Linked DNA regions of Caenorhabditis elegans. The protein of the gene in region 2 interacts with the protein of the main gene of each other region in a pairwise test. Each region holds a gene or a part of one and is shown on either strand. Other genes may lie near its edges. The genes, in order: pgk-1 and mms-19.

Region 1 (14,792 bases), on a different chromosome or scaffold from region 2:
AAAATTCTGGGTTTCATCTTGGTTTTCATTTTTGGATCCTTTTCAGAATCATTTTCCAAAATTAAGGGACGGGGAGCATTGCTCAGTTGGTTTAAAATGCCTTCGAGGAGTTGCGTGATTTTTTGAGATCCTCTCCAACTGGGCTTTGACGGGTACGGAGACCCGTGGCCCCTTCCATCCGAAGGATCTAATAATGATTACTCGGAGAACATATCTATAGATAACCTGCAGCCGACAAAAAACAATGTAGCGTTGGCATGCGAACTGTTGCAATAAAAGTCGTTATTTAATTTTCCGCGCATGTTTAATGTCGCCGACGCGACATCAATTTTTGCCGGCTGCCGTGTAATGACATAATGCTTCTAATTATTGGGAATTTCAAGTTCTCAAGGCGGTGAGGGGCATTTTGCAGACGAGAACTTCTCATCGACTGCTAAAACTCCGCTGTAACTCCGCTCTAACTCCGCTGCCCTACTACCTATAAATTTTGGAAAAGGATACCGAAAGGGGTCCAGAAAGTTGTGTTTAAGGGTCATAGGAAAACTAAAATTTTCGCGACGACGCTCCTAAATTTGAATTTTCTTGGATTGAAATTTGAGCAAAAAAACTTACCGGAAATCTGAAAAACCATCTTAGGCTCTGCCACGTATTGAGACATAATAGAGATACGAGACCGAGTATCACAGGCGATCGGAGAGCACAGACGTTTGGCGACTTCCAGTTGAAAAGTTAATGTTAGTGGAACTCGACCGTACTGCCAAACTCCTCGTCGGTATGACATGTCACGGAGATACCTAGAAATGGTTGATACATCACGGAAAATTCTGTATCACGTACAGGGCCGGGAGTTTTTAGGCTTTTTTTTTGGTATTTTGACCAAAACTGTTTTTTTTTGTTGGTATTTTTTGGTATTTTCTAGACCAAAAAAAAGGGTTCTAAAATAAAAGCATGCAATGCTAAATATTTTTTTTGCTTGAAAATCTGGAACTATAAAAATATAAGTTTGCAGGCTTGAATTCCCACCAGGGTTGGGACTTTTTTCGGTTTTTTTACCAAAAAAACCAAAAAAAAAAACCCAACAAATTTTTTTACTTTTTCACTGTTTTTTTTTTGAAAAAAAAATTCAAGCATCAAATTTTTTTTGGTGTTTTTTGGTTTTTCGCAAATTTTAATTTTTGTTTTTTTTTTTGCTGGTATTTTGACGAAAAAAAATTTTTTTTTATTTTTCTAGACCACAAAAAGATCTCAAACATTTTTTCACTTTTTCAGGATTGTTTTTAAATAAATTCGAGCATCAAAATTATTTTTTTGGATTTTTTTTGGTATTTCGCAAATTTCAATTTTTTTTATTATTTTTTGGTACCTGGGCTTTTGTTATTTGTTTTTCTGGGGTTTTGTTTAAAGAAACATGGCTTTTTTGGTTTTTTGGGGCCAATAAACACAAAAGTCAACAAAAATTCTTCGGTTCTAATATTTTTTGAAAATTATCCGTTTTGTCCCGTTTAAAATTAAATGATTTTTTGTTTGGTTTTTTGTTGATAAATTGGATTTTTTGTTTTTTATCCAAATTTTAAGCAAACATTTTTATTTATTTATTTATTTTCTAATTTCTACACATCTTTTCAGATCTTACTTAATAATAAGCGGTGAAGCAATATTAAATGGTAAATTCCCAATGACATGCATTGCAGGTAGATTTGAATCATGCCAATCCACAGATTCGGGTCTCGCGGTTTCATTTTTCCAAATATCTCCAATTTCCGTTCGAAGTGCATCCTGATGATGGATGAACATTCGAGAATCGGCTGCTTCCGCGAGATGCTGAAATTCGATTTTTCATTTTTTTTTTTCCATTTTCCCTCAAAATAAACTAATTTCGAAATTCTCCGAGAACATTTTTCCGGTAAAACGCTCCGTCATCATGATTTTGATTCCTTATCAGTTCACACACACACACTTTGCCCTTTGATAATAATTTATAATTTCCAAAAATGACAAACCTGTAACGGCGGAATAAATCTATTATCGATTTCTACGACGTCAAGCCTCGAGGCTCCAGCTTCAAGAATTGCTCGTGTAATTCCGCCAGGACCCGGTCCGATCTCGATTACCCAGTCTTTTTCGATCACTTTTGCGTGTTTTGCTATCTGAAAATTAATGAATTATAGAAGATTTTTATATTTGATTCTTTGAAATTTTCAAAAATTGCGATGGGAATTAAAATTCGAAATGTTGGAAAAAATTTCTAAAAGTTAAAAAAAATTAATTGAAAAAATAGGACTTAAAATTTGAATTTTTTAAAAATTTTTTAATGTTGTTTAGTTGCAAAAATGGGACTTAAAATTTGAATTTTCAAAAAAAATTTAAAAATTTTTAAAGACTACAGTATTTTTCTTGTTTATCTAAATACATTTTCACTTACTAATTATAATTTTTCAAGAAAAAATGTTGAAACTACCACACTTTTTAAAGGAGCACGCTCTGTTTCAACTAAAATTACCGTACAAACTCTGAGAATGCGTATTGCACAACATATTTGACGCGCAAAATATCTCGTAGCGAAAATTTAGTTAAATGACTACTGTAGCGCTAGTGCCGATTTACGGGCTCGATTTTCAAAAAAAATTTTTTTTTTAATTGTCGAGCCCGCTACAGTAGTCATTTAAAGAATTACTGTATCTTTCGCTACGAGATATTTTGCGCGTCAAATATGCTGTGTAGTACGCATTTTCAGAATTTTGAGTTCCCGTAATATTTTTGATTTAAAAACCGGAAAATTTTTAATTTTTAAATTAATTTTTTGGAATTTTGCAAATAAAAAATTTCAGAAATCCAACCTTTCTTGTGATATTCATATCCATTAAATAATTCTGCGAAAGAATTTTCTTCGCTCTCAACCTGTACATATGGATGAAATCTCGTAGTGCCGGGAGCGGCGGGAGACGTGAAGCAGAAGCCATCTATGAAAATAGTTCAGATTTTTTTCTCTAAAAAAATCCGAATTCTCACTGAAAATAGTATCTGCCATTTGGAACAGTTTTTTAAAAACCAAAATTATTGTATTCAATACGTATTAATACGAAATCAAATAATTATTATGAAATGAATGAGACAAAAAGAAAATAACTTGAGAAGTTGACTAAAGAAGACAAAACTGAATTGCAAAAAAAAAGGAGGGAGCAATAAATAAAAAAAGGGAACAAAGTTTGTTGGAATAAAGCAAATTTGAAAGAGGTGTATTGAAAGAGAGAGATAAAGAGTACCTACCACAACCAGAAGACACTCAAGTTCATCAAGACAGAAAAAATTGGAGGAATGACTGAATAGAGACAATTTTTAAAAAATAATTTATTATTTTTTGGAGGTTTTTTCGAGATCATCACGAAGAAGATCGACGAATTCCTTATAGGCACGTTCCAAATCATCGTTCACAATCACTTTGTCGAAGAGCGTTGGATTTTTTTCGACTGAAAACAAATTAAATTAAAATTTATATTACTTTTCTTTTTTCAAAAAAGGCAAAAAACGCTCACTTTCAACTAAATCCTCAGATGCATGTTGAAGACGCTTCGAGAGGCTCTCCTCGGTTTCGGTTCCTCTTGCTCTGAGTCTTTCCTCGAGAAGCTTGATGGATGGGGCACGGATCAGAATGTATCTGGCGTCGAGATGACTATTCTTGATGTTTCGAACTCCTTGCAACTCAATATCCAGAACGCAGATCTTTCCGCTATTTTCGATTTCTAGGACGGTTTTCTTGCTGTAAAAATAAAAATAAATTTTTTTGTTCTGTTCCAAAAATATTCGATTCCAAAAACCAACCTAGTTCCATAAGTATTTCCGCTAAACGTGGCGAACTCCAGAAACTCGTTATTTTTAATCATTTCCTGCATCTTCTCCTTTTCCGTGAAGTAATAGTGTTTTCCGTGCTCCTCACCGGCTCTTGGCTGTCTCGTTGTGTCTGTAAAACTATTTAATTTTTTTGGAAATACACAAAATGTGCCCAGACAAACGAATTTTATACCGGAACTTTACAAAAATTACTCAAAAATTTTTTATGGTGATTAAAAATTTAAGATTTGAGCAAAAATGAGGTTTTTTCTCGAAATTTGGAATCAAATTTTGCCAAAAACTCACGAGAAACGCTGAAAGCAAAGCTATTTGGGTATTCCTGCATGGCTCTCGTCAAAATCGTACTTTTTCCTCCACCCGATGGTCCGGAGAGCACAATCGGCCGGCACGGCATTTTTCGAACTGAAACGAAATCGAATTATTTTTTTTTTAATCGAGAAGTTTTCTTTTCTGAATGTACCGAAACTGTTGAATATGACAGATGTTAGCTTCATGGCGGCACGAAAATTTTGTTGTTAAAAATGAACAAAGTGTTAGTAGAGAATCGAGAAAGACTCGACGCGCAAAAAAAATAACGTGACACAACACAAAAAGTTTATTATTTTCAACCAGCGGCGCTATGGAGTGACAGCAGAGCGCGTTTGAGCGAAATTTAAAAGAGAGAAAGCTTTTGGCCTAAAATTGTTTTACTTGCGGCGGGAAAATTCAAACATTTTGAAGTGGGGAATTGATGGAAAGGAAAATTTGATTTTGTTGGTTTCGCTATTACACAGCTGCAAAAATACGGTACCCGGTCTCGACACGACAAATTTTAATAAAATGCGAAGAGTTGTGCATCTTTAAAGTGTACTGTAATTTCAAATTTTTGTTGCTGCGGAATCGAGATTTTTATTTAAGTGTTTTTAATGATATTCTTAGTTTTAAATATATTTTTAAAGAAAAACTACGGCAATTGCAATTTAGATTGATGAAAAATCCGCAGTAACGTAAGTTTGAGATTACAGTACTCTTTAAAGGCGCACACCTGTTTGCAGTTACTAAAAATTTGTTTTTTCATGAGAAAAAAACCGCAAAATTATTTATTCAAGAGCGGAGATCACTTTAAAAATGGCTGGAAAATGAGTTATTTGTAGATAAGTTGAGAAAAAGCGTTTTCTCAATTTTATACCACATATATCTCACAAATCTGCTCTCAAAACGCTCAAAATGTTCATTTTTTTTTGTTAAATTAAATTCCAAAGCAGAAGATAAAAGCTTTTGTTATCAATTTGATATCTACTGGAGAAGAATTGGAAAATTGTGCAAACAATATCCATCACAATCAAAGTGAATGTGTGTGTGTGTGGGCGAGAACTGAGGAGGAAGGGAAAGCCTCGACAACCACGTTGCGCATACATTCTCGCCACGTCGCCTTTGCCTCGTTGTCTCCGCACTCTTTTCCTTCACAGTCCGTGCTTCCGCTTTGGCAAGGCGAATGGTCCCGGAAAACATTGGAGAGAACGGAGAGACGCAGGAAAAAAACGGGAATATTATCAGTGTCACAGCGGTTTTTAGGGCCATGAACTGTCGTTTTTTGTTACCTTCTCGGCTCCGATTACGTCGTTGCTTTTTGGCATGATGAAGAAGAAATAGGGTGTACATAGGCGAAATTTCAACAGAAAATGGAAAAAAAACACTCGAAAACTGATTCCTAATCCTGATTTTCAATCCGCGTCACGAGAACGGATTAGACTATGGTGAGCAAATTACACATAGATCTCGGAGAGAAAAAAACTCACAATAATCCTGAATATAAGTCATTTTCAATGAATTTTGTTCACAAATTAGGGAGGAATTGTGCCGCTTTTCTTCACTCTATACCAAAATTGATGACACACTAAAATGTTGCAATTTGTGGATGACCTTATCAGCAGCGTGTGCATTAGGTTATCATGTGAGTGCCAACAAAAGAGGACATATATGTATAGCGAAAACAGATGCGGGTAAAAAAAGATATTTCTGAACGAAAACCTAAAAAAAGTGATGGTAGTCTTTTTTGTGAATTGAAAATTGATTTAAAACGATTTTCAATTAAAAAATCGAAAATAAAACTATAAAATTCGCTAAAAACCAAGTAATTTCATTTAAAAATCCGAGGAAAACGAGGAAGAATTCTCAGAAGACTACCATAAACTTTTTTGCGCGCCGAGACCCATCTGAATAAATCCGTGCGCCTTTAAGAAGAATCTTAGAATACATGGAAAAATCTTGTAAAGTGACAACATTTCAAAACGAAAAGCTGATTTTTTTCTGGAAAAGCGCGCAAAAAAGACTTACTAAACGATTGACAGGACGGCCGCCAAAACCAGGCGACACGGGAGGTGGCGTGCATGAATACCTCAACGGGCCGTCGCTTATTTATACCCCTCGCCTCTTCGTAAATATCCAAATCTTATATATCCGGTATATATCACGCTTATGACGACGACTTAGTGATAAATATGTGTATGTGTGTGTGTGGCTCAGCCGGATATACAACCCATTAGAGCAAATTGAAAATCGCTAATCTGAATTTTTGCTAGGCATATGGAGGATGTCGCGCAAATTAAAGAAAAATAAATAAAATTTATTGGAACAATTCACCAGATATAAACTAAACATAAAAAAGGATTGACAGATTCAAACTTTATTCCCTTTAAAATTGCATTATTTACAGGTATTGGGATTAGATGGGTTTTTTGACATTGCTAAATAGTGGAGCAATAGTTATTTCTTCACATATCATCTTCTTCATCGTCGTCACTATCGTGACGTCGCCCACTTCTTGCATTCTGTCTTTGTTGCTTCTTTTCCTGCGCCAAAGCCCTTTTGTTGGCCTTATCTTTCAGCTCTCGCTCGGTTGCTGTTCTGACGTCAGCAGTTCTGTAATAGCACAAACGCGGATCCTTGATGACAACGGCCGTCACACCAGTCAATCGCTTGCAGCCACTAATCGGCGAATTGACATAAACCGGTTGTTCTCCAAGCCACGAACGAACAGGCTTCACGCGGACACGCGTCGATCTTCGGACACCGTCTGGAGCATCTTCTGGCTTCACTGAAAATGTTTAAAGTTTCGAATGATTGCATTAATTAATTAAAACTCACTGAGTTGATGCTCTTTCAGTTTCATACCCCTGTGTGTTCTCGGACGTCTGTTTCCTTTAGAATTCGGTTCAGGATACCATGTTTCGTCAACGAATGTGTCGTTTGGGCGTCTTCTCGACGAACTAGCAAGACCAAGAGCAATCGAATCACCTGAAATTGTTTTAAAAACGTTGTTATTTGTGAAGTAACACTCACTAAGAAGCCCGAGTCTTCTAGACGACTTTTTCCTTGGATCTGGACGTGCTTCCATTTCTTCTTCGTCAGAAGAAGATCTCATTTCATTTGTATCGTCCTCTGGAAAATCAATGGCACTGATATCATGTGCAGGCTCTTCGTTGACAGTCAGCGCATTCAATTCGATGTTCAGGGAGCGATTGCTTGAATCTGCTGCCTCATCCTCACCATCGACAATCACACCACCATTTTCAGATCTTTTTTCAATGACCTCCGTCGCCTGATCCTCCTCATCATCCTCCAAAACCATGCGAACAGCGGCTGAAGAAGTTGTAGCAGTAGTCTTCGCAGGCGTATTCTTTCGTGAAGTTTCCTCAAGCAAACGATTAGCATCTTTCATATTCATCCTTTTGACGAGTGAAGCGAAAGTAGGCTGTTCATATCGTCGTGCCGGGGTCACTCGATTCACAGAATCAACGATATCCATCCTAGTCGGTGTTGAGAGCAGTGCAGCCCGAGCACATTCGACATTGTTGGTGGGTCCAATATTACGGATAGAATTATCCGTGTGCCGAATCGATCTGGAAAATGGAGAAATAAGAATAATATTCCGCAATTCGAAAAAAAACATACTTTGGAGTTGCGGCTTTCGATACATGCATTGGCTCCACTTTTTCTGGAACTTCTGGAACCGGCGAAACTCGAGATGCATTGAATGTTGGAGAGATATAAGACGAGCCAATAGAATCCGCTTCCATTGTTCGTTCTTCAGCTACCGATTCCATCTCAATCGTTCGCTCCTTATTCGATTCAGTACTAAGTCTGCTGGTTGCCTTGATTCGTGGCGGCGTTTGAACCACCGGTCTGATCTTTTTTCGGGGATGTTTGAAGAAGTTGGCTCCCGGCGATTGAATTTCTTCCTTTTCGAGCATACTGTTGTGAAGAGGATTAGAAATACTGGCATTACGTCGTTCTCGCTCATCCGAAGTGACTTTCGACGTTCTCCGTTTTTCTCCTCCTTCCATCGTGTTTTGTGCCAGTACTGGAGGCTTCACACCAACACTCGTGGTTCCTTGCTCGTATGCATCTCTTTCTTCAATAATAAACGTCTTTTGAAGAGTTGAATCGTTATTTTCATCTCTGTTAGCTACGTTGAAAGTTCTTTGAAGTGATGACTCATCTTTCTCGGTCGGCTTTGTGAACGTTTTCTGTAGAGAGGAGTGTTCTGCATCTTTAGCCACTGTGACCGTTCCCTGCATTTCCGAGCTCTGATTCTTCTCGATCGTCACCGTTTTCTGAAGTTCTTCAGGAGCATCTTTAGCCACCGTGAAGTTTCCTTGCAGCTGAGAGCTTTGATTCTTCTCGATCGTTACCGTTCTTTGAAGCTGTGATTGCTCTTTTGATGCATCTTTAGCCACCGTAAACGTTCTTTGCATTTCCGAGCTCTGATTCTTCTCGATTGTCACCGTTTTCTGAAGTTCTTCAGGAGCATCTTCAGCCACAGTGAAGGTTTTTTGCAGCTGAGAGCTGTGATTCTTCTCAATCGTGAGAGTTTTCTGGAGTGTTGACTCTCTCTCCTCGAGAATGGTTGGGATAACGACAGACTTGGTGTGAACAGTCTGAAACGATATAAAAGTTAGTTTAAATATCTTTAAAACAAACAAATTTTACCACTCTTTCAGCATCTAGTCGATCGGTATTGACGACATGTGAAATATCAAGCGATCTCAAGGACCTCATCGACGTATCACTCGAGCTCTTGGGAGTTGAACAACTTAATCCAGCTTTTCCACTCTGAAATTATAGATTTATTAAACTATGAACACGCAAATTCATCTCATACCCCTCTGGAATTAGCAATTGGCGAGCCCATCATCGACTTTTCACTGATGTGTTTCGGAAGCGCCGGAATGGCAAAAACCGAAGCGCTTCGGACATTTTGATTCACAGTGTTCTCGCTGTCGCTCTCACATTCGGAGTATTCACGACAAGCAATCAACTCTTTGAAGGTTTTCGCTCCGTACATTTCCTTTTCGAGACGTTTTCTGGCCTGAATATAGTTTATTAGGTGTTGAAAAGATTTTGTGACTGAAATTTACATTGTTAAGCTGTGTTTGTTTCCTTTTCTCCAAAATAGCGAACATCTGCTTCTCAGATAGTCCCTGTTTTCTCCATTCTCGCTCCTCCAAATTTGCACTATCATTCATCATCGATTCATCGACGATAACTGTTGGTTCCTCCAAGTACGACGGTCTTGTATCGTCCAAGCCAGCCTCACGAAGAGCAACGATTTCAGTGATCATTTTCTGAAATAAACAAAATAAGTAAGCAATCAAATTACCATAATGTGGAACTTTTTTTTTGTAAAAATCAAACATTTGTTAAGAATTTTAAAAATCTGAATCACTTACTCGACCAGGAACAATCGTACTGCGGGTTCGCGGTTTTCGATTCATTCTGCAATTTGATATCGTTTTGAAAAAAAGACAATTTTAAGAGGTGAATAAATATAAGCAAACTTCTCGATGTCAAATGGGAGCTAAATTTGAAAGTGGCGGTTTTGCATTGTACAACGGAGCGCGTTTGGTTAGAGGGGGAAGGCTACGAGAAGAGGATAGAGGAAACGTATTTATTGTTTTCTTTTCGCATTCAAAAGGCAAGAAGGTATTATGAGCCAAATATTGATTGATTTTAAGGGAGAAAGACACAGACTTTGTATAAAATAATAGCCGAACCAAGTCAAACGCAGTTTTGAAGAGAGGCCAATCGATACGCTTTGGTGAAATAAAGAAAAATGAATAATACTTCATCGAGATCTATTTATGCTTGTTTTCACGAATTTCAACAAGGCCTCCACGTCCCTAACAGTAGAAAATACTAAACGCAGAATTTATTAGTAGTTTTCTAAATAAAATTCGTGCAATATTAGTTGAGCGGTAGCTCTTTAAAGTACATATTGATTTCAACCAAGTTCTTCGAAAGTTATTTCAAGCGCGTTTTCATTTTTTTTTCTAATGATCCGCAAGAAAATAAAATTTTAAAACGAAAAGAGAAAAATAGAATAAAATCAAAGCCTAAAAATCAGACTCTAAAAATGATTTTTCCCGCCTGTCGGTATCAAGTGTACGGTATTCGTGGTGAGACCCGCGCCCCCGCGCAAAAAATTTTGAACTTTTGCGGAGATGTTTGCACAGACAGCATTTAACTTAACGCAATTTTGCATGCTTTCTATACTTTCGAACATTTATTGAGACCCGAAGAACTCGGGGGATGTCCAATTGGGGGGATTACCAACTCGGGGGATTGGCCTCACCCACAGAACCGTGGTTTGCAATACGCCCATTTCTGCAAATGCCGCACGGTTTTAAAACTGTATTTTTCTCAATAGAGCGAGAATTAACAAGAAAAAATAATTTTAAAACCGTGCGGCAGTTGCAGAAATGGGCGTATTGCAAGCCACGGTTCTGTGGGCGGGACCAATCCCCTGGTAATCCCCCCAATTGGACATCCCCCGAGTTCTTCGGGTCTCCATTTATTTTTTGTTTTTGCCTTTTTGTCTTACAATTTTGAAGGTTTCCCTTCATCGATTTCATCCAAAATTGAGAAAAAATGTTTACAAAATGTATTATTTTCATTTCTTCCAATTTTCTAATTCAGATTTTCCCTAAAACATTTGTGATTCTTGATTTTTTACTTTTATCTATATGAGTGACGTTGTTTTGACAGCATATTTGATCAAATTTCTAGAAATGGTTTGTTTTATCACTACTGTTCATGCCTTCTTAATTTCAAATGATCTTCAAACATTTATATTTGTGTTTTCGGTTATTCTTCATGTGTTTTTTATTTGATTCGTTTCAACCCATCCAAATGCGCGGTCTCTCGCTCGATCTCTCGTCTCTCTGCGTTTCCAGTGTAAAAGAGAAAGGCGAGCAACAACTTCTATCATTTCTCACGTCGCTCGTCAAAATAGTTGTCTTGTTTGTTTCTCAATTTTAACATTCTCTCCTGTTTTGACCATCTTTGAAATTTTTGAAAATCAATATCAAACAATTTCAGCATTCAGAAAAATGAGCTCCCTCAACAAGTTGGCTATCGACCAGTTGAACCTCGCCGGAAAGCGAGTTTTGATCCGTGTTGACTTCAATGTCCCACTCAAGGATGGCAAAATCACCAACAATCAACGTATTGCTGCCGCTGTTCCAACCATTCAGGTAATCAATTCAAATTTATTTCAAACAACATTTTCAATAATATTCAAAATTTCAGCATGCTCTTAGCAACGGAGCCAAATCTGTCGTTTTAATGTCACATTTGGGACGTCCAGATGGCAGACGCCAAGACAAGTACACCTTGAAACCAGTTGCTGAAGAGTTGAAGGCTCTCTTGAAAAAGTTTGTTGTATAATCTGATTTTAAAAAAATTACAAATGATTTTCAGAGATGTTCTCTTCCTCGACGACTGTGTCGGATCAGAAGTGGAGGCTGCATGCGCCGATCCAGCTCCTGGATCAGTCATTCTCCTTGAAAATCTTCGTTATCATCTGGAAGAGGAGGGCAAAGGAGTCGATGCATCCGGTGCCAAGGTTAAGGCTGATTCAGCAGCCGTAAAGAAATTCCGCGAGTCTCTCACCAAGCTTGGCGATATTTATGTCAATGATGCTTTCGGAACCGCTCACAGAGCCCATAGCTCCATGGTTGGAGTCGAGCACTCACAACGTGCAAGTGGATTCTTGCTCAAGAACGAGCTCTCCTACTTTAGCAAGGTAATTTTTTCCTCCAATTTTTCATATTGAATTTTATTATTAAATTTTCAGGCCCTCGACAACCCAGCTCGTCCATTCCTGGCCATCCTTGGAGGAGCTAAGGTCGCTGACAAGATTCAGTTGATCAAGAACTTGTTAGACAAGGTTAATGAGATGATCATCGGCGGAGGAATGGCCTATACCTTCTTGAAAGTTGCCCAGGGAGTCAAGATCGGAAACTCTTTGTACGACGAAGAAGGAGCGAAAATTGTGAACGAGCTTCTTGAGGCTGCCAAGGCAAAGGGAGTTCAAATCCATCTCCCAGTGGATTTCGTCATTGCTGACAAGTTCGCCGAGGACGCAACCTCGAAGACCGTCACCGCCGAGGAAGGTGTTCCAGATGGCCACATGGGACTTGATGTTGGGCCGGAATCTTCTAAGATCTTCGCCGCTGCCATTCAACGCGCCAAAACGATTGTCTGGAACGGTCCAGCAGGAGTATTCGAGTTTGATAAATTCGCCACAGGCACCAAGTCATTGATGGATGAAGTTGTCAAGGCCACCGCTGCCGGAGCCATCACAATCATTGGAGGAGGTGACACTGCGACCGCCGCCAAGAAGTATAACACGGAAGATAAGGTGTCTCACGTCTCAACTGGAGGTGGAGCCAGTTTGGAATTGCTCGAAGGAAAAGTTCTGCCAGGAGTTGATGCTCTTTCGCCAGCTCAATAATTTTCTAATTTCTATTGTTTATTCCTTGCCCAATAGTGTATTTGTATTTATTCTTTCTCTCTCTAAAAACTTTCCCACATTAGTCTTGAATTGTTCCCAGTGATTTCACAATCTTCCATGTAACATGAAGTATAAATAAAGTGTATAACTATAGAATAAATTAAGAGTTCACTTAATCGTAGAGTTTTTTAATCGTAGAGTTCCGTATATCTACCAATACATTATAGTCATTTTCCAATTGAAAAAAAAAGAAAAGAAATCAGATGTCTGCTCAAAAGCTATACGCATCGCATGTTCCCTTGGCACCGCTGTCTCGGATGCTTCTCGGGATTGGATCAGCAGTAACAGCGATCTCGGATCCAAAAAGAGGAGATATGGTGGCAGCGATGGGCGAAACTACTGCAATTGGACCAGTTTTAGAAAATATTCGAAAAAGAATGGAATCTGATGTTGTTGGAAAGCGACTTCTTCTCGAAAAACCAAGAATTTCAAATGGAACAATTGATAGAAAGTGGCTAAGACAGTTACCGGATGGAACATTAGGAAAATTGTATTCAAAGTATGTGAAAGTATATTAAACAACAAAAAAAAATTGAAAAACTTCAATTTTCAGCTTTCTCGATCGTTTGAACACATCTCCAGATGCTCGGCCCACTGTCAAGTATATCGATAATTTGGAGCATCTTTATGTTATGCAAAGGTTTTAAAAATCGACGTAAATAACAAAAAAATTCAAAATTTCAGGTATCGCGAAACACACGACTTCACCCACATCGCATTGGAGCAGAAAACGAACATGCTCGGCGAGGTAACAGTCAAATATTTCGAAGGAATTCAATATGGGCTTCCAATGTGTGTCACTGGTGGAATATTTGGAGGTGCCAGGCTTTTAACAAAGTAAGCAGAAAGAGAGACGAAACCATGAAAATAAAATTTAAAAATTCTAGAAATCGCCAAGAACTTGTCGACCGGAACCTCCCTTGGGTTGTGGAGCAGGCCACGAATGCACGATTCTTCATGGCTTTCGACTGGGAAAATCACTTTGAAAAGCAGCTCAGCGAGGTGCAGAAGGAGCTAAATATAACGCCATTATCTGTGAATATGTGATATAGATTTGATCTTGAATTTCTCAGTGATAATGAAAAAATGAATTAATTAATTTTTTTGGACCGGACATTAAATTTGAAAAATTTGGACCATTTAACAGTTACGGTATTACGATAACACTTAAATTCTGAGAATGCGTATTGCACAAAATATTTGACGAGCAAAATACTATCAAAATTTATGAATCGATCCTTCGATTTTGCAAAAATCGAAGGATCGATTCATAAATTTTGATAGTATCCCGTAGCGAAAACTACAGTAATTCTTAAAACTACTACTGTATCGCTTGTGTCGATTTTCGAAATGGATTTAAATATCGATAGAATACTAGAATTAAGCAAATATTAAGAAAATAATACGAAGCAACGCATTTTTTAATTTCGAAAATATTTCTAAATCGATACAAGCGCTACAGTAGTCATTTAAAGAATTACTGTAGTTTTCGCTACGGGATACTTTGCGTGTCAAATATGCTGCGGAATACGCATTCTCAGAATTTTGTGTTTACCGTAATACCAAAACGTTCTGCGACTGGCAGTTTAGTCAATTTCTTTGGATTTTGATAATTGTGTGATTTGTGAGAAAGGATTTATTGTACATGAAACTGAAAAAATGGAAAGAAACCGGTAATAGAGGCAAACGGGCAAGTTTTGGATGAGGAACGACGGGGGAATTGTGGAAAAATAAGCGAACTTCTCAATTATCGAATTTCAGGAGCTTCTGGACCTCCCGGAAATGGAACCGGATGTCCCTGATATTCTCTTCAGTAAAGGACATCCGGGATTTTGGAGAGTCCTCCAGGCGGTTGATATGATGATTTAAAGTAGCAACTTTCCTAAAATTATATTATAACATTGATTAGGAGGTGGCTTGTACAACTTACTGTTTTAGCACGTGTCTCAGCTTCTGCCGCATTCTCTTCAACTCTTTGGCCGATTGTCCAGTTGGGTTGCCATTGGGTGCCGTTGGGCGCTGGGGGTGAGTGGGAGCCACCCAGCAGTGGCAGAGGATGGTATTGTCAATTGTTTGGACTTTCCAGATGATGAGGGCCGTCGCGCCT
Region 2 (18,748 bases):
CTCACCACAAAGTCGTCACTGGTAAACGTTTTACTGTTCAATGTTCGATATCCGATATAATACATAACAGCTCCAGGCACCGGGCTCCACGAGAGTCCACGGACACCTTTCAGTGTCAGATTCGTCGGTGCTGGTAGTGTTTTTTCAGGGACTAATTCTCCATTACACGTGCTCCAGCAAGTATTGTCTGACTGAAATGGAATACATATATAGGGAGAATATTGAAGATTATAATGAATAAACTTACACATAAGTTTTTGTTATTAAGTTTCTGGCATTGTGGTTTGCAAGCATCTAAAGACTGTTGTGTAGAATCGCTCTGAAAACATTTAAAACAGTTTCAGATAATTTTTTTCAAAACAACACAAATTTCCCCAGCTACAAAGAATTTTAAATTTCCACAGTAAAAACAAAGTGTCCGGAATATTTGTTGCTATACTTCTGACGTCATAGTGTTTCAGCAAAGTCAATATTTTTACTTTGGCTCGAGTTACTCCGTGTATTCCTTGTCCTAGAATCAATTTGTGGTGTCTTGCAGGTGGTAGACGTTTTTGTAGACATACAGACTACCTTTTGCAAAAAAAGAATAACTGCAGAATTCAGAAATTGAACTACAGTATTGTTTGTAAATTGCCAAGCTTTGCAATATTTCGATTTTTCAAATTAAATCAAACAAAATGTGTAGTGAAACGAAGATCTGTTCAGGCGTATTTTTAGGCACGGGGCAGGCGGAAGGTAGAAATTTTGGTACCGACGTTTTTTGTGAGAATATTGCCCTAAATAACAGAAAAAATCTCAAAAACTGTATTTTTCTAATAGTTAATTTTTTTAAAGTATTTATATATTTTTTAATTTTGCTGAAAAAATTCGAAAGGCCCAAATTATTTTTGAATTTCCGCTCAAATGAATGACTTAGTTTTGACATTTCCCTGCTAAATTTATCATTTTTTCTTAATTTTTGTTGATATTTGATTTGATTATGGCAAATTGTGGCAAATGTTAAGACATTTTTTTTTTGCAAAAAAGTAAATAATTTTCAGTCTTTCAATTTTCCTGAAAAAAAAAACGGAAAAGCAACACCCTTCATTGAGACAGTTTCTGTAATTTGGGGCTGAAACTCCACAGATTTTACCCCACAGTTAAAAAATCTTATTCACAAAAAGTGCAATTCAGTTTCGTTTGTATTTTGAAACCTAAACAATTCGTTTCTCACCTTTTCAACAAACGCGACACATTGTGCAACACATCGCAGGAAGCATCCTTCAGCTTTCGACACCAATTCCTGGTTCGAGATACAAAAAAGTCCGGTTATTAATACAAAAAATCGAAGTTTCATTTGATTTGCATAGGTATAGGTTTGATTCTGTAAGTTGAGGTATTTTTTGACAAAAGACAGGGCAACGTTGACAAAAGAGTGCAGCCATCAAAACAAAACTGCTGATACAGTCTCTTTTGAATACAAAAATGGCATGGGCAACAGGAAACCTTTTTGTCAACTTTTTAGAAAAAGGAAATTTTGAAGACTTTGGGAAGTGTTACGCAAGAATCTGATAAAATTGGAAATTAAGGGGCATAACTGAAATGGCGGCAGAGAAGAAGGAAAAGGACAGTTCTGCGCGAATTCACCCAGTTTATCTTGATCGAAATGCAATAAAAGATGAAACAGATGCGATTTAGATACCAGGAAAGCAGAGAGATATGAGAGACGGAGAGATGGATACAGACAGATATGTTATGAAAAAGTGGTAGTGGACAAATGTACTTGAACTTGACTTTTGCGAACTGATGTGAGGCCTATGTTAAAAATGAATGGCGGTTGCGGTGTTAATAAAGTAGAGTGTCAGATGTTCAAGTTTTCAAGCAAATTTCAAACTTTTCAAGGCAATTTTTAACAAAAGTCTATAAATGTTACAATATTTATACTTTAAATGAATAATTTAAAAAATCTGCAAAACCGAAAAGCTAGAGGCAACTGTTCTATTTTCCCTATTAGTCTTGAACCCTCATTTCTCCACTTTAACAGTTTATATCTTGGTTGTCGATGGCTTTATCAAAAAATGCTGAACTATTAAAGTATATAAAAATATTTTTCACATACTTTGTCAGTTGCAAATTTCTTGAGAAAACCAATGAGAACCGAAATATAAGCTGCCAAAGCGGAGTAGGGAAAATACGGTAATTTGTAAATTCAGCAGACAATGTTTAAGAAATTTTTCAACTTATTTGTAGGCTACAGTTACGTAGGATAAAAATGTTCGTAAAATAAACAACAGTGCACAAATAGAGTCAGACGATCAAATTTTGAAATATTGTAATTTTCAAAAGCTTGAATTTTTAGAATTAAAATAGGTAAGAAACTTTATTTTTAAAAATGTGTGTAAACGATTTGGCAGGGAATTTAAAAACTAGACACTAAAAATTAAAGCTGGTAGATTTAGGGGTATGTTTCATTAAAATTTTCCGAAAAAAGTATACTTTAGCTGTTCAAAAACAAAGTTGGAAAAGGTGTCCAATTGCCAAAAAACACCGAATTTTTCAATACTGTAAGTTGTTTTTCTTTGACAGCTCATGGATATCACAATAAGTTCGTTTAGGTTTTACCAAATAATTTCCAACTGGCAAAATATGTGCAAAATATTTCTCTACATTTTAGCTTTAAAATGCTTTTCAGTAAATATAAGGTGAACCGAGATATAAGCCGTTAAAGTAGAAACAATTTTTTTAAAAATTTGTTCTGCTTTGAGACAAATTTCTTAATAATAGATAACTGTATATTTGCGGTCCAGGTAAAAAAAAGAAAAAAAATCGGACATCAGTTTGGATCAAGAGAGAACTAGGTCATCAAGTTAGCAACTGATATGTTTAAATGAAACAAATTCGAAGCAAAAAATTCAGAAAGTGAAAACCTATTAGGTTAAAATCCAACCAAATGTTTCATGAACACTACCTCACCAACTAACAACAGTGCTACTGCTTGATAATCAACTGATTCGGCGGGGAGTGATGAGTCATCGCATGGATGATTTGACGTCAATAACTGGTTCAGTTGGCGTCAGTAGAGGTCGTATTTCTATCAATACTACATATCACGAGTGACGAGGGAGAAGCTATCGGGGGGATTCCGGTCTTTGCTCAGAGTGATTTTAGGAAAGACGTGGGATACTGTAGGTAGAGAATTCTCAAGATAGTCACAATTTATTGTAACCTAGATCTTTATCTAAAAGTTGTGAACGTCAATCAATAAGTGATGAAAAGTGGAGAGTTTCGCCTAACCGCTAATCATAAAAGAAAGCCCCAGGCAGAGAGTGAAAAGAACAGTAAATAAAAATGAAGAATCGATTTGTGCGCAATGGCAAAAAGAGCGAGAACCTATAAGAGAGCGAAAGACTCAGTGTTAGGAAACATCGAACCGGTCGGTCACATCGCAATGCGCGCGCATGTTCTCGAATCGGTATTGTTGTATTTTGTGGGGTGAGAAAGAATAACGGCCTGGGTACTGCTGGGCATCAATCATATTTTTTCTTTGCCTATTTATTCATGTTCATGATTATGTGATTCTATTATAATGTTTTGTGTGGGAAATCAGTTTATTTTCAACAATACAGTTCAAGCTGAGAATTTTTAAGGTTTATTTTTTGAGTTGGCAGGAATGTGAAGTAGGTCTACGCCAGGGTGTTGTCGAAATTTTTTTTTTATTCCAGAAATAATCGAGATTTAAAAAAAAATTTGCTTATCATGTTTACAAAAGACATGAGAAAACTTTTACTAGGAATTCCTACAAAACTAGGAATAATAAAAATTTCCAAAACTTAGGGATATTTTTCGAAATATCGATAAATCGAAAAATTATAGGCCTTTTACATTACCCAGTAATGAATTCTTTTATCCAATTTTTTTCGTCCTTTCAACGAATGAAATATAACATAGACGCGAAATTTCGCGCCAAAAATACGGTAAAGGGTCTCGGCACGACAAATTTTTGCTAAACTCGAAAAGTAGTGCGCCTTTAATGAGTACTGTAGTTTCAAACTATCGTTGCAGCAGAAATTTGATAGTTTTCCGCACGATTTTTTAAAATTATTCAGTTCGTTATTAAATTAATACACTTTTATTTGAAAAATATATAAATATTGTGAAAACTTCGCATAAACGAAAGTTCTAAACTACAGTTTTACTTTTTTTAAAGGCGCACACTTTTTTAATTAAAAAATTATCGTGTCGAGACCGGGTGTCGGTACTTTCGATGCAAAAATCGAATTTTTTTTCAACAAAATTATTATTTTGGTGAAAAAAAAACGGGAAATGGGGTACTGTACTATGTATAGTATACTTAAAGGCGCAGGCCTCGATATTTAAATTAGAAAGAAATCGTGGCGAGACCGGGAACGGGAAAAATCAAAAATGTTCACAAATGCGTAATACATTTTTGGGCTCTCTAGGGTTTCACAAATTATCGCTTTTTTTAATGTCAGAAAATCGATATTTTCCCGGAAAATCAATTTGAATCTCAAAACCTTTCTCAAGATTTGCAAAATGAGTCGATAACTTAACTACAAGATCTGAAAAATGTTTCAATTCTTGAATCTTTAGGACATTAATGAATATTCTATATAGCAATAGAAGTAGTGAATAATAAAACTGATTCATAGAATTCGAGCAAAATTCAATACAAAATACGACGAACAATGAAAATGAAAAAAAAAACAACAAAAAAACAATTTAGGACAAAACAAAAGTATATCTAGTTTGTCGTTAATAACCCGGAATTGAGTTGATTCGACGTCCATCTACTTGGTGATAACCATCTCCCTGAAAACAAAAAACACATTTATCATATTTTGGTCGACTCAAACACCCATTACCAATTGTTTTTCACATCAGCCGCCATCATTCGAAGCAACCTCTTTTTGTGACCCAAGATTTTGTTGATTGACGTGACCACAAGTGGCACTTCAGAATGCAATGACTTCGGTGGCTGTCGTCGCGCCAAAATGTTCAATCCATTCAACGCATCCTCCAAGTTGGTCTGAACAGCAACAAAAAAATCAAATTATCGGACGTTGAAATACACAGAAATACCATATTCGAGTCGTTGTCCCTTGTAATGGAGCACAGATATTTGACGACTGTTCCGAGATCTTTTGGCTGAAGAGGTTCAGAGATTGTAAGAAACATTGGAATAGTCCGTGTGACGTGGCTTGGGATGACATCTTCCATGCCGATTGTTTGAATTAGAACTGGCAACAACTGAAACAAGTTTCGATGGGTTACTGTAGTTTTCAATTAGTTGGACAGGAGAATTGCAGTATGTATAGGTTAGGGGTGGGTGGAAAACGATTTTTTCCGGCAAATCGGAAAATTGCCGGAATTGAAATTTCCGGCAAATCGGCAAATTGTGGTTTTGTACATTTTTTTTTGGAAATTTCAGAGTTTCAGAATTGAAAAAATTTTCCGGCAATTCGGCAAACCGGCAATTTACCGGAATCGAAAATTTGCGGCAAATCGGCAAACTGACGAATTTGTCTACAAAAATCATGAAAATTTCCGGCAAACTGGCAAAGTGTCGAATTTCTCGACAAAAAATTATGAAAATTTCCGGCAAATCGACAAACCGGCAATTTGCCGAAAATGAAAAATTTGCGGCAAATTGGCAAATTGTCGAATTTTTCGACAAACAATTGGCCGAACGGCAATTGCAGCCCACTACGGTACCCGGTCTCGACACGACAAATTGAAAAAAAATGTGTGCGCCTTCAAGGGGTACTGTAATTTCAAACTCTCGTTACTGCGGAGTTTTCTTCGTTTTTTCATAGAAGCATCAACGAGAGTTTGGAACTACAGTACTCTTCAAAGGCACATGCCACTTTGTATTAACCAAAAAATGTGTCGCGTCGAGACCAGTTACAGTATTCTTGGCGTAAAAGTCGGAAAATTTCGCATTTGGGTAATAATGTCATTCTCGAACACAAACCATAGCGAATTGTTTCTTCAGTTGCTGAAAATCCAATGGAACTGCGAATGTCAAAAGATGTGGTAGCATCTCGACAAGAACGTGCTTCTGGGATCCAGGCTCCTCGAATTTTCTTTTGAAAATCGGAACAATTTGACAGAAAATTCGTTGTCTCCATAGAGGGCTTGCGGTCTCATATCTGCATCTATCAGGATTCGAATCGAAACTATCAAAATCCAAAAGATATTCAAAAGGGCTTTCAGTGCTTCCAGAAATGTTTGTCAGAAATTGCTCGAATGCAGATAAAGAATTTGGTGCATTTCGTAATAATTTCGCCTTGATTTCCGCGATATGGTGTCTGGAAAAGTGTATTTAATTTATACTTTTAAAAATTAATTTTTTTTAATTTAAAAATTAAAAAAAATCTCAACTGTTCAGGAATTTCACTATTATTTTCGTTTTCCGCCTCCCTGTTGCAAATCGCGAAAAATAGCTGACGTATCGTCCGTTCTGGCAATTTCAAGTTGGCAATAGTTTTCAAATCATTTGTATTCTGAAAATTGAATCTATTGTTTTATTATTTCACATGAGCCAGTTAAATTGCCTTATTTTGGAGATATGCGAGTCGATACTTTTGATTGAAATTGTCAAGTGATGATCCTTCAAGACTTTGATATCTGGTTGTTGTTTGATTCATAAACTTCTGATGATCATCTTCAGAAAGTAGCAGGGAAATTGATTGCATCAGATATGAAACGCTCACAGGTTCATTGCAATCGGTCTGAATTATAATGCTTATTACAGTTTGATGCAGAATACGGTGGCCGTGGGTCTCGACACGATAAATTTGTGTTTAGTGCAAAAGAGTTTGCGCCTCACCCTTTTGCATTTAATCAAAATTTGTCGTTTTTAGATTTTTTTTTTAATCTAAAATTTTTGTTTTTTTTTAGTTTGTCCGAGATTTCGAATAAAAATTTGATTTTTCGAAAAAAAATCGCGCAAAATTTTGCAAAAAAAATTTGGTAATTTTTCTTCTTTTTATACAAACTGCCATTGAATAGATTTTTCGATTTCTTCTGGAAAAAAAGGGGGAAAAATAAAATTTTATGTTTGTATTAAATATACGATTTTTTTCGATTTTCCGCAAAATAGAAAAATCAATTTTTTAAAAATCAAAAATTGAAATGTTTTGTTTGTTTTTTTCCTATGTTTCTTCTCATCAGCATATACAAAACTTGACAAAAAATTGAGTTTTATGGTAAATTTTCTGAATTTTTTTTTTCCATTTTTTGATTTTCCGGAAAATCGAAAATTTTTGTTTTTCACTTTTTAGATTTTCCCTGAAGAAAAATATAATTTTTTTTCGAAGACAGACCGGGTACCGTACTTTTGCTGCAATAATTGCAAAATTTTGCATCTGGCTTACTTTGTACAAGACTGATTCAAAAACTTCAAATTGTTGGTGGAACAATTGAGGATCTTTTTTGCATTTTTCCATCATTTGCACATAACAAATTAGATAACTGATTTCTGTAGACGATGATATTGTAGATCCAAGTTCATCGACAATCTTATTTTTCAATAAATTCCATCTTTGTGAGCAGCTAATTGCACATAGAACTGGTAGAACTTTCATTGCGTCTGGAAATTTTTCAATGCCAAATTTTTATAAAATAAAAAAGCCAACTCACTCCAAGAATTAGTTTCATTGTCAGCGAGAATAATCTCAACTTGATCGAAATTTTTTGAAGAGTATATTCTGATAAGTTTCAAAAGACTTTGAAAATCTGAATCAGTGTCAATTGGTGTACGAAGAGCAAGTGCGATATAGCTTCGGCATTGGGATATTAATTCATCGGAGGCGCAATCCGATTCAAAGTAAACCTGAAAGAATATTCAATTTTTAAGGTGGAATAGAGAAAAAATAGGAACCAAAACGATAGAATATAACTGAAAAAAAATTATTAAACTTTTAAATTTTTTTTTCAAATTTGTCATAACAAAAGTGAATACTGAAAAAAATTTCAGCATTTCGGCGTTTTTGTTCGAAAATTAATATGATTTTTTTGATTTTTAATTTTGTCTTCTTTTTTTAATTTGAAACACCGTTTGTTAATTTTTAAAGCCTTTTTTGAAAAAATATTGAAAACAATTTTTTTTTCGGAAAACGGTGCTGCAAAACAATTATCTATTTACAATTTTTTATTTTGCAAACAAAAACTGTATTGAGTTTCGAAATTCGCGCGTTTTCTGGCTAAATTCAATGGTTTTTATTTGATTCAGAACAATAATTTTAAACAGCGTTTTTCAATTTTTCAAAAAATTTGCTGAAAAACTGTGAATAAAATTTAAAAAATCGATTTGCAGGCTTTTTTTTGAAGTTTCCGAGAATGTATGATTTTTTTTTAGCAAAGTTTGGAGCAAAATTAATTTAGAAAATTATATAAATTTTTTAAAAGAAGTTCTTGGCCATTATTGCCGATTTTCTATCATTTAATCTTTTAATGAACATTTTTTGAAAAGTTAAAAACATACAGATGCACATTCATAGATTGCAGTAATAGCTTCACGTGGTTTAAATTCCCGAGCTCTAGAGCATGATTCGAAAATGCTTTGCTCAAAAACCGCGAGTGTTTCAATTGAGAGTTCTTTGTATTCTGAAGCGAGTTGTATCCATTCTACTAGATATTCAAGACCTTCTTGTACGATATCTGCTCGGTTTCCAGCTGCATTTACACTGTCGCCTGCAAAAAAATATAATTTTTTTTGGAAGTTTATAGTTCAATGCCAACCTTGAATCAGGTTGAGAATCCAGGCAATAACTTGATTGAAAATTTGACGTGAATTCTTGTCTGGGAGACTTTTGAATGCGCTTCGGAGGAGTGTTAGTGCTTTCTTGCAGAGCCCCATTTCTGCTTGTAAAACGAACGGCTCAGAATCTGAAATTCAAAAAAAAAACAGTACAATTGACAAAAAAATTCACCTTCAACAATCGAACTAACAATTCCATCCAACGCTTTCGAATTCGTTTCAGAAGATTTTGTGCACAGTTTGATAACCGCTTCAAATGCCTGCGAAACATATTTCTGCATTTCTCCCTTATTCTTCGGGTTTAGTCCAATTTTTCGAATTCCTCCGATTAGTGGCTCAATAAGTGATAGGTTCTTCTTCTGTGCTGGAAAGCGGTTGTAAGCTAGGATCTGAAAATATGAATTTTTTAAAATCAAAATTGGTGATATTTAGAGTATATAAAAATATTTGCTTTTTCTGAAAATAAATTTTATTCCAGTTGGAGTAAATAATTTTTAAAAAAAGTGCTCAAAAATAGTATTTTTCCTGCAATTTTCTATTCTTTGAGAACTTTCTCAAATGTTTCAACTGAAATAAAACATATTATAAAGTCTGTAGAATTGCCGCGAGCTCCTGGAAGGAATTATGATCATACCAAAAGGTTCAGAACATCTTCGTATTCTTCATCGGAACAGTCATCGTCATTCAGCTTTTCGTCGATGAAAAGAAAACAGAATGGAGCGAAGGATGGGGATGATACGAGACATGAAGCACACGAAGCAGCGAGATATTCTCGTGTAATTGTATCCGTTTTTTGCTGGAAAAATAGGATATTGAAATTGTGAAATTAGGCTTAAATTTTTTTGAAAAATTTAGTCTGAAATTAGGTAAATAAACATTCAGAAAAACCGTCAAAGAAATAAGAAAAAATAGTGAAAAAAAAATAAAAATCCCTACATTAAAAACCGTGATTTATATATCAATTTTGGCTAATTCCCCTCCAAAATCCAATTTTTTAAAAATCATTTTGGAGGGAATTTTGCGAAAATTGAACAATCGCGTTTTAAAAGTTGGATTTTTTCGTTTTTTTTTTCCAGAATGCAAGACTATTTTGGAAGTAAATCCCCCATTCAGGATGTTCCATCGTTTTCTAGTTTACCGGCTTAAACTCGACTGGAAAATAGCAGGCTATCGTCTCAAACATGTCTTCTGTGAATGGTCCGAGTGTGAAATTGTTCGAAACTTCCAGGAATGCCGAGAACATGTGGACGAGACATCTCGGATCACGCTCTCCGGATACACTTTTCATAAATGTAGCCAAAAAATCTGGGCCGAGGCCTTTCAAGACTGAAACAGAATATAAACATATAAATAGTTAGAAATTTGAATATTACATGATAATCGATATTTCAAGAACCAAATGAGAATCTCATACTGCAGCTGCCGTTCCTTTTGTGCCCAACTTTGAACATTTCCTTCTCTGCAAAATAAAAATAAAATTATTATTACATTTGAAAAATAGTTTCTGAAGAAAAAAACCCACTTAAATAAAACTCGAATAAGTGAGACTTCAAAATTATCCGGAAGATTTTTAGATTTCAAAATTAGGTGATGAACTCCGCGGATCACGGCTCCGCCAGTTAGCGCAGACGATTCGATTGAATTTATAAAGTAATTCAGAAGCAGCGATACTGAAAATTTAAAGTATTATGTCAAATAAAATTAAAAATAATTAAACCTTCATCTTTTTGTAGAAAATCCATCGGAAACGTGCTGATAACTTCAATTATTTCTTCAATCGCTTCTTCTCTTTCTTCTGGAAAATCCGACACCATTTTTGTTCTGAAAAGCCATTTTTTCAGTTAAATAATTTTAAAATTGAACTCTAAAACCTTTTAGAAGTCATAAAATCAGAAAGAGTAGTTGATTTTTCAACAACGAGCAGGCGATACCATTCCTGCGTCGATGAATCTGTATCGTTTTGGTCAATTTCTGATCCCATCTGTAAAAATAATTCAATTACTCGCTGAAAATTTTAATAATATAAAAAATTAAGTTTCAAAGAAGGAAAGGTGCTTCGTTATCGAAGAATTAAGTTGCGAATCGATTGAAAATGAGAAAAATTGAATATAAACGCTACAGTATAACTTAAAGGCGCATACCTAACGCTGACTGGCGGGTCTTGCCACGAAAATAATTTTTCAGGCACAGAAATTAACGAAATGCAGTTTTATAAACCAAATTTACTACTTTTACTATATTTTTAGTTGAAAATAAAAAGAGAAAAACATTTATTTTCTAAAAACAGTAATTTTCCTTTAGTCAGTTTATTTCTCATTGAGATATTGTGAACTCCTGTTTTAAAATCAAATGAGAAAAATTGAACACAAATTTTAAATTTACATAAATCCCCAAAAACTATCAATATTTCCAACCTAGACACACTATAATTGAATAAGATTCTCGTGACCTTCGGACATACAGTTTGTCAAAGACAAGCACTCCCACATTTGCCGGTTAATTGTGATAACCCTATCAACTTGGCTCCGTCTTCACTCTCACTTGCAATTGCACAACTTCTTTCTTTTTGGATGTAAGTAGCAACATTTTATCATCACTCTATTGGGAAATTTTTAAAACAAAATTTCTTCAATACGATTGCCGGTCTCGCCACGATAAATTGTAGGTACATGCGAAAAAATAATGCCCATTTAAAGAGTACTGTAATTTCCATCTCTCTTTGTTGCAGGATTTTTTGTCGATTTTTTTAGTTGTTCAATACAAATAAATTCATTCGAAAACTGTCATGTCACGATAAACAAACAAATTTTGGTATTTAACAAAAATTTGTCGTGTCGAGACCTAAGCTAGAATAGTACTATAATTTTTGAGCTTTAATTTTTTCAAGTTTTTTACAAAATTTTTTTTTCTGTTGATTAATTGATGTATTTTTATCGGAGATCTATAAAAAAATCAATGAAATTTTCGAAGAAGCCAAAAAAGTACTGTTGATACTACAGTAATCTTCAAAGGCGCACACCTTTCGGCATTTAACAAAAATTTGTCGTGTTAAGACCGGGTAATTTGTTAGGCAAATATTTGAAAAAAAACTGCTTAAATATTTCATGAAAATTCTGTTATCTTTAATCAGATTTTTAAAAAATTATTATCAAATTTCAAAAAATTACCTAAAATAATGTCTGAAATTCTTCTTTACTCACGCGAACTGCAACTTCCAGACATTAATTGAGGAAATTTCAAATTAATCAATAACAATGAATACGATTTTCAGATTAAACGAGTATTTTCCTACATTTTTATTAATTTTTTTGATTAATATTAATTTTTAAAATGAAATTTTTGGATAATCCTACTAAAATAAGCATGTCCCGCAAGGCCCTATTTCAAAAGTTTAGTGCCTGAAAAATCAATATTTCGCAAGAACAGTCTACCAATTTTTCCAATTTATACTTCCGGCAATTGCCACCAATTCGGTGATCTAGAAAATACCCATATAGGCTCTACAGTACCTTCCCTTATCACCCACATCCAATTTTGCTATCAGTTAGTCTTCAATCACACTTAGTCTTTGAACAAATGAACTCATAACTCTCACAAGATGTTTGCAACTATCATATTGATGTCATTCAGTTCTCATATGAGAAGGCGGGCACATTGTTGTATATTGATAAACCACCCCCATTTTCCTCTTCTTCCAGCAAAAAAAAATAAAATTAATATTGTCTCAGACGCTTGTGAAACTGGTGCTCTCAATTGAAAAGCACCATTGACTTCGCAGAAACTGGCAGTTCATTTGGCTTTCGGATACTTACAACCATACGCTCACAATGTCTGTAAGCGTACGAATTGTTCTGATTGTAATCATTGGTTGTGGAATAACGGTTCAGGTAAACTAGACAGTTTATAGAAGCTGACTAATCAATTATTCATTTTTTCAGAAAGAATCAGAAAAGGGGGACTCGTCGATAAAACCGTCTATAGCAATCGTCGGCGCCGGTATTTCCGGACTATCGACCGCGCGTCGACTGATTGAACTTGGAATTGACGATTTTGATATCTACGAAGGTCTCGACCGGATCGGAGGCAGAATTCATGCCATACCGTACAGTAAGTGCTCAATACTGTAATCTTAATCCTCAAAATTGAAAATTTGCAGAGGATGGATTTCTACAAATGGGAGCCCAATTTATAAATGGAGCACAAAACCCGTTGTACAAAATTGCCAACCGTCTTGGACTTCTGGCCGATGTGGTATCTGACACTGCACATGTCGACAATGCACACTTTGCTTTTGGAAATCAAAATGTTCAGGAGTGAGTTATTATTCATTTGTTTGTTTTGTAGTACTCGTGACTCTGCCACCTGTATGTTAATTTTAGTGAATCAGTTGATCATTACAGTCGGTCGGAAATAAAATTCAGAGATAACGCTTATAGATTAAAGACTATTTCTAAATAACCCCGTTTATGCACACAAATTTCTGTGACCTATAAAAAATTAACGATTCTAGAGACTATAATATAATTTCAACAAATATCATTCAGAAAAGACATCAAGACATTCTTGGACTTTACTTCGAAGCTTGATCCAAAATACAGAAGCATCGCAAAACATGATGAGAAGACTGCAAGACGCTACACTTTCAAAGAAATCTTCACTTTGGATTACATGCATTTCTTGAAGAGCCAGAATTTTACGGATCAACAGACAAATGTCTTTGATTCGCTGGCAAGATCATTCAGATCGTATTGGGAATTCGAGTGGGCGGCTGATTGGAGTACTGTAAGTGATTACTTGAATATCAATTATGGGGACGCAGAAAAAACGTTCCGCCTTTCAAACGTTGGGTCTCGTTAGGTAGCAAACTCGTGAACTTATAGTCAGAAAGTTTTAAAGTATATTTCCGTTTTTTTGGTTAGGTTCTTCATCGTTTTTGATAACTTTTTGGGCTCGAAATTATGTTTTAAAAATGAAATGCATTTGAAGTTTAAATGTGAATAAGGTTTTTAATTTTAATTTTTTCGACAAAAATTTCGACATCAAAATAATTTAAGACATCAAAACCGGAAAATGCTTGGAGAAATTGGCGAAAGCAATTGAAGGCTTTTGAATTGAGCCAATCCTTAACGAGACCCAACCTTTTTGGGCGGAGCATTTTAATTTAGTCGTGGAGCGCGGTTGCATCCTGATTTCAAAAGACGCGTTTCTACGTTTCCGTAATATACTGGCAGGTGATTGGGACAATTTTTGAATTTTTGAAATTTTTTGAAAATTGTCTATTCCAGCTGAGTGTTCACGTTCTAAAAGAGTGGAATGACTATGGACCGGAATGTGAATCATTTGCCACTAACAAAATTGGATTCAAAGCGATTTTGGACGATATTGCCGCACCGATTCCAAGAAAGGCATTCAATTTCAATAGTCGAGTTGAAAATATCAATCTGGATTCAAACACTGGAAAAATCAAATTGACAGTTTCCGATCGTGCAGTTCCAACGGAATATGACTATATTATTGTGACTTCTTCGTTAGGAGTTCTCAAGAAATATCATCATAAAATGTTCACACCACCCTTGCCACGACAGAAAATTGAAGCCATCGAGAAAATCGGATTCGGAGGATCTTGCAAGGTGTTCTTCGAATGGGAAACTCCATTTTGGTCGAACAACACCTACTCCATCGCTCCTCTCCCTGTTAAGGGAATGATTAGAGATAAACTGGATGCATTTGAAGATGAGACTACGATCCTTCAAGTTGTCGACTGGGCTCCGAACGTTCTGAGTGCATGGTATGCTGGTAGAGGTCATCAGTTGGTGGATAACATGTCGGAGGAAGAGTTGAAGCAAAGAATTACAAAACTGATGCGAGACATGTACAACGACAAAAGTATTCCCGAGCCTAGCAAGATTATCAGAACTCAGCTGACCAAGAACGAGTTGCTTCTAGGATCCTATTCCTACATGACTCAAGTGCAAGCGCTCTCCCATATTTCTCACTCTCAACTTGCGATTCCAGTGAAACTGGAAGGAAGACCAAAGGTTCTGTTTGCCGGTGAAGCAACTCATCACAGGTATACTATTTCAGAGATAAGAGAAAAAAGTCTAAACAATCAATTTCAGACTATTCCAAACAACCATCGGAGGTTATTTGAGTGGTCGCAGAGAAGCTGATCGAGCTGTCAATGACTGGTTTGGAAGATGGAATCAGACCACAAAATTGGAAGTAGTGGATGAAACATTGATCAATGATCAGAGAAACATCCCAATCATTTCACAACCAATAACTTCTATTTAAAAATAAGATTAATCAGATACCTTGAGGATTTAACTCAGTTTTTTTATTAAATTTTCGATATTTTCTAATAACGTTGAGTATCAATAAACATTCTTTATTTGGTTTTATCTAGGCAATTTATACTGATGGAATCCTGAGTATGATATTAATGAGATCAAAAAATATGTAGATTCAATGATTTGAAGTTAATCCTCAATCCTCAATCCTCTTGAGATGGAAACGTGAGACATCCTCCTGCACCACCACCAATTCCCATTCGTTGTTGAACATTTGAAGGTCTCGGACCGAGCGATGTTTCCTTCACTAGAGAATTAATTTCATGCATTTGAAGCATATCCAGCACTTGCAATGATTCATTCTTTTTTGCAGCGGCTCTCTGAAATATTTATAGAATTTTTTAATCAGACAGATCGAAAGTTCAACGCGTACCCGAATCGATGGCATTCGAAGAATAATTGAAGCGTATCTCTCGCTTGCCGCTTGCGGATTATAAGCCTTTTGCAAATGACGAAAGAGCACTGCAAGTAGTTTCTTCTGTTCTGCTACAACATTTCTTTGTGATGCCGAATCGAGTCCTTCGGTGTCTGGATCGAAGAACATGATTGCTTGAAGTAGAGCGAATTCTGTCGTGGAGAAGTTCAACTGGCGGAATGGTTTCATTACAAGATCGATCATCATTGTGAGGACTGGTGTTATTCCAGAAAGACTCGAATTGCTGAAAATCAAAATTTAATTGAAGTTAAACATGGAATATCGTCAGTAGGGCAATAGTTTGAAACTACATTTTCATCTCTTACCTCTGAAAAATTTTAATTTACAGTCAAAGTGTTGTAATTTTGGAAGTCGACCAAAAATAATTTTTTTCTTCGAGTTTTATACTTTAATTTTGTATTGATTGTACATAACACTCTGGAGGTCCGAACTTGCATCAATTCTCGAAATTGCACAAAAGCTCTAAGCTGTACATTGTTGAAATTTGGCAATTTGCCAAAAGTTGAACAAAACATAAACCCAAAACTTAAAATTGAGAAAAATCTAAGATCGTTTTTAAATTGTTTAATTAAGGTATTTTGTCATGTTGGACTATATATAATAAGTGTAATTAGACTAGGTCCCCACTGACCATACCTTCCAAAATTAACAAAATGCCTAGGCGTCTACTAGGCACATTAAGCCTGCCACCGATTTTTCTCATAATTCCTTGGTAACGTCAGATACATCAACTATAAGAATATAGTCTAAATACACATTTATCATGACTGAATATCACAATAAAACACTTTAAAAATTTTGAAAGCTTTCAAAAGTGACAGCTAAGCTTTTGGTAAGTTAGAATGTTCTAAGGTGAATATTTGAAACATAATTTAAATGTAAAAATCATAGACACAATTTTAGGTTGACTTTTGCAAAAATGGCTCTATAGATTACGGTTTTGTGTTTCATTATTTTATAAATTTCAAACTAGATTGTTTTTCAAAAAAATAAAGAACCCACTTTGCACTTGGAGACTGAAAGTTTCTCGATTCCAACATTGAAACAGTTTTCATAGATCGTTCATTCAAGTTGCAGGAGGATGGACGACCCTGTTTAAGAAAAATTAACTTTATGTACTTGAAAAAAAAAAATTTTACCACACAAAAGTCTCGAGCTTCAAAGAAATTGTGCATATCTGATTTTCCTTCGTGTCCAGCTGTTGGATGACCGTAATCTTGAGGGATCCACGAAGCATAGTCTGCTGGAAGGTTGCCATATTCAGTTGGAAGTTGAATCATTCCTTCTGTCGATGGAACTTCTAGTGGTTCTTTCTTTATTTCTCTGAAAAAATATAAATTGAGACTTATGGGTTTGAATATCTATACCGAATTGGAAGATTCAAAAGTATTTTATCATCAGAAGAATTCTCTCCAAACATGATCCCTTTGTTGATAGACTGCTGGATACATGCCGCATGAAGCAAGTTTGTCAAATCATCGTGTACATCTTCCCCATTGCTCACTAAGCTTCCAGCCACCGATGAAACCCTGCTACATCCGGATCCGGAGTTTGATGTCACGATATTTGGAAGATCCGGTCTCTTACGAACAACATCCGATTTCATGTGCTCTGGAGTGCGGAAAGCTTCACACATGATCATGAAAGAAGATGCATGATTAGTTACCATGGCAACCTGAAAAAGTGGATGATGGAAGAGGTAGAGGAGAATGTTTAGATACTTACTTTGTCAGCGTACGGTAGGGATCTAAAAGTGGAAAATGTCTTCGCCCAATCTATGTATAGAGCTATCAAACGTTGCCTCCAGAATGGCAATTTATCATCTCGATTTGTGAGAACTACATTGTCTGACCACTGAAATAAGTTGTAAGTATTGTGGAAATTTGGAAATAGATCTAAAAAAAGTCAGAAAGCGGTGAAAACTAAGTTTGCGGCACTTTTCAAGAAATCTAATGCACTGTCGCATATTTGAGCATCTACAATGTTGGAAGATGAATATTTTAAATATATTTTAAACATAAAATTGGAATTTTTTTGATTGACGAATTCCAAAAAATTGGGAAAATAATTTTTTGTAAAGTTTTAAAATAAATCGAATTTGGAACTAAAATTAAAAAGTAAATTTTAATAAACTTCGGCGTATTTTTGTACCAAAAAAAGTGAATTTTCCAATTTTGAAAAAATCCCAATCATTCGTTCAGTCTTATTTTTATAATAGTAGATTTCATGAAAATTTTAAAATTTTTAGCTCAAGCTGTTAGACGTGATTTTATACATTTTTCATATTACAAAAATTTAAATACTTATGCAAATTTTTAACAGTATATGACCATTGGGGTTCTGAATTTAATTCATTTATAATAGACCAATATGACCAAATTTTCTGGATTTTTTGAAATTTTCAGTCAAGTTTTGGTAAAATGCCAAAATTTTCAGAAACATTTGAAATTTTTTGGTCGACTTTCAAAATTAAAAGAAACTATTTTAATGCACATAAACAATACCAAACATCTATTGACGCTACTTTATAAATCATTTCTTCAACTCACTTCACAAGAAATAGGTTGCATAAATCGACTTGGAGCATTGAGAGCATCTTCTAACGTTGCATAGGAATGCAAATCGGCGCATCTACTCAAAAGTAGTGTGAAGTTATTTTCCAACGTTGTAAGCCTATCAGCAATTGGATCCAGACAATTCTGAAATTATGCATTGCATTGTTTTTGGAAATTTCTATTTAAAAGTTACCAAATCAATTTTAATATCCTTCATATCCATACTCTCGGGGCTCTCATCATTCATTTGTGGACTTCCTGAAGATCCATCTCTGATATGTTCTGAATGATGAACACCTCCTTCCATATCATTGTCATCATGTCTTCTTTTTCGTTTTGTGTATCCAATTCTATCACGGTCGTTTTGAATTGCTGAATAGATTCAGATTTTAAAAAAAATTAAATTGAAATATAATTGTATATTGTTCTATGAAATTTTGTAACTTCTAGATTGATGAGAAACTGGAAAAATTTCAAAATTGGTTTTCAAAATTTGTAATTTTATCTAGAGCCTCTTAATTAACGGCTCTTAAAAAATTGTTCTCCTTATTTAAACTCAAAAATACGGTGACCCTGGTCTCGACGCGACAGTTTTTTGATCAATGCGAAAAGGTGTGCGCCTTTGAAGAGTACTGTAGTTTGAACT

The links.
Region 1: the proteins of mms-19 (region 2) and pgk-1 interact in a two-hybrid assay, tested with the Caenorhabditis elegans proteins (2 studies listed by BioGRID).

The regions. Positions count from the first base shown.
Region 1 is NC_003279.8:3,856,333-3,871,124, forward strand, and holds pgk-1 (putative phosphoglycerate kinase), read left to right. Parts: upstream 1-11,208; 5' UTR 11,209-11,219; coding exon 11,220-11,363; intron 11,364-11,418; coding exon 11,419-11,543; intron 11,544-11,589; coding exon 11,590-11,914; intron 11,915-11,965; coding exon 11,966-12,625; 3' UTR 12,626-12,777; downstream 12,778-14,792. Other genes in the region: tfbm-1 (Dimethyladenosine transferase 1, mitochondrial), read right to left, coding at 613-794, 1,634-1,821, 2,001-2,147, 2,838-2,960; guk-1 (guanylate kinase), read right to left, coding at 3,352-3,467, 3,534-3,757, 3,820-3,958, 4,135-4,251, 6,166-6,220; hcp-4 (HoloCentric chromosome binding Protein), read right to left, coding at 6,603-6,925, 6,976-7,125, 7,171-7,730, 7,783-8,768, 8,821-8,943, 8,993-9,199, 9,249-9,455, 9,561-9,605; coq-4 (Ubiquinone biosynthesis protein coq-4, mitochondrial), read left to right, coding at 12,889-13,184, 13,239-13,325, 13,370-13,522, 13,573-13,732.
Region 2 is NC_003283.11:5,506,342-5,525,089, reverse strand, and holds mms-19 (MMS19 nucleotide excision repair protein), read right to left. Parts: upstream 10,743-18,748; coding exon 10,633-10,742; intron 10,583-10,632; coding exon 10,479-10,582; intron 10,432-10,478; coding exon 10,284-10,431; intron 10,221-10,283; coding exon 10,135-10,220; intron 10,088-10,134; coding exon 9,900-10,087; intron 9,558-9,899; coding exon 9,396-9,557; intron 9,151-9,395; coding exon 8,934-9,150; intron 8,890-8,933; coding exon 8,743-8,889; intron 8,695-8,742; coding exon 8,486-8,694; intron 7,835-8,485; coding exon 7,642-7,834; intron 7,592-7,641; coding exon 7,377-7,591; intron 6,732-7,376; coding exon 6,555-6,731; intron 6,504-6,554; coding exon 6,382-6,503; intron 6,309-6,381; coding exon 5,972-6,308; intron 5,248-5,971; coding exon 5,080-5,247; intron 5,027-5,079; coding exon 4,863-5,026; intron 4,810-4,862; coding exon 4,788-4,809; 3' UTR 4,632-4,787; downstream 1-4,631. Other genes in the region: hir-1 (receptor protein-tyrosine kinase), read right to left, coding at 6-191, 248-319, 1,214-1,336; hpo-15 (Amine oxidase domain-containing protein), read left to right, coding at 12,589-12,648, 12,700-12,868, 12,918-13,074, 13,306-13,543, 14,047-14,831, 14,881-15,055; Nuclear hormone receptor family member nhr-47, read right to left, coding at 15,255-15,431, 15,485-15,770, 16,550-16,638, 16,687-16,870, 16,915-17,222, 17,273-17,401, 18,097-18,246, 18,296-18,474.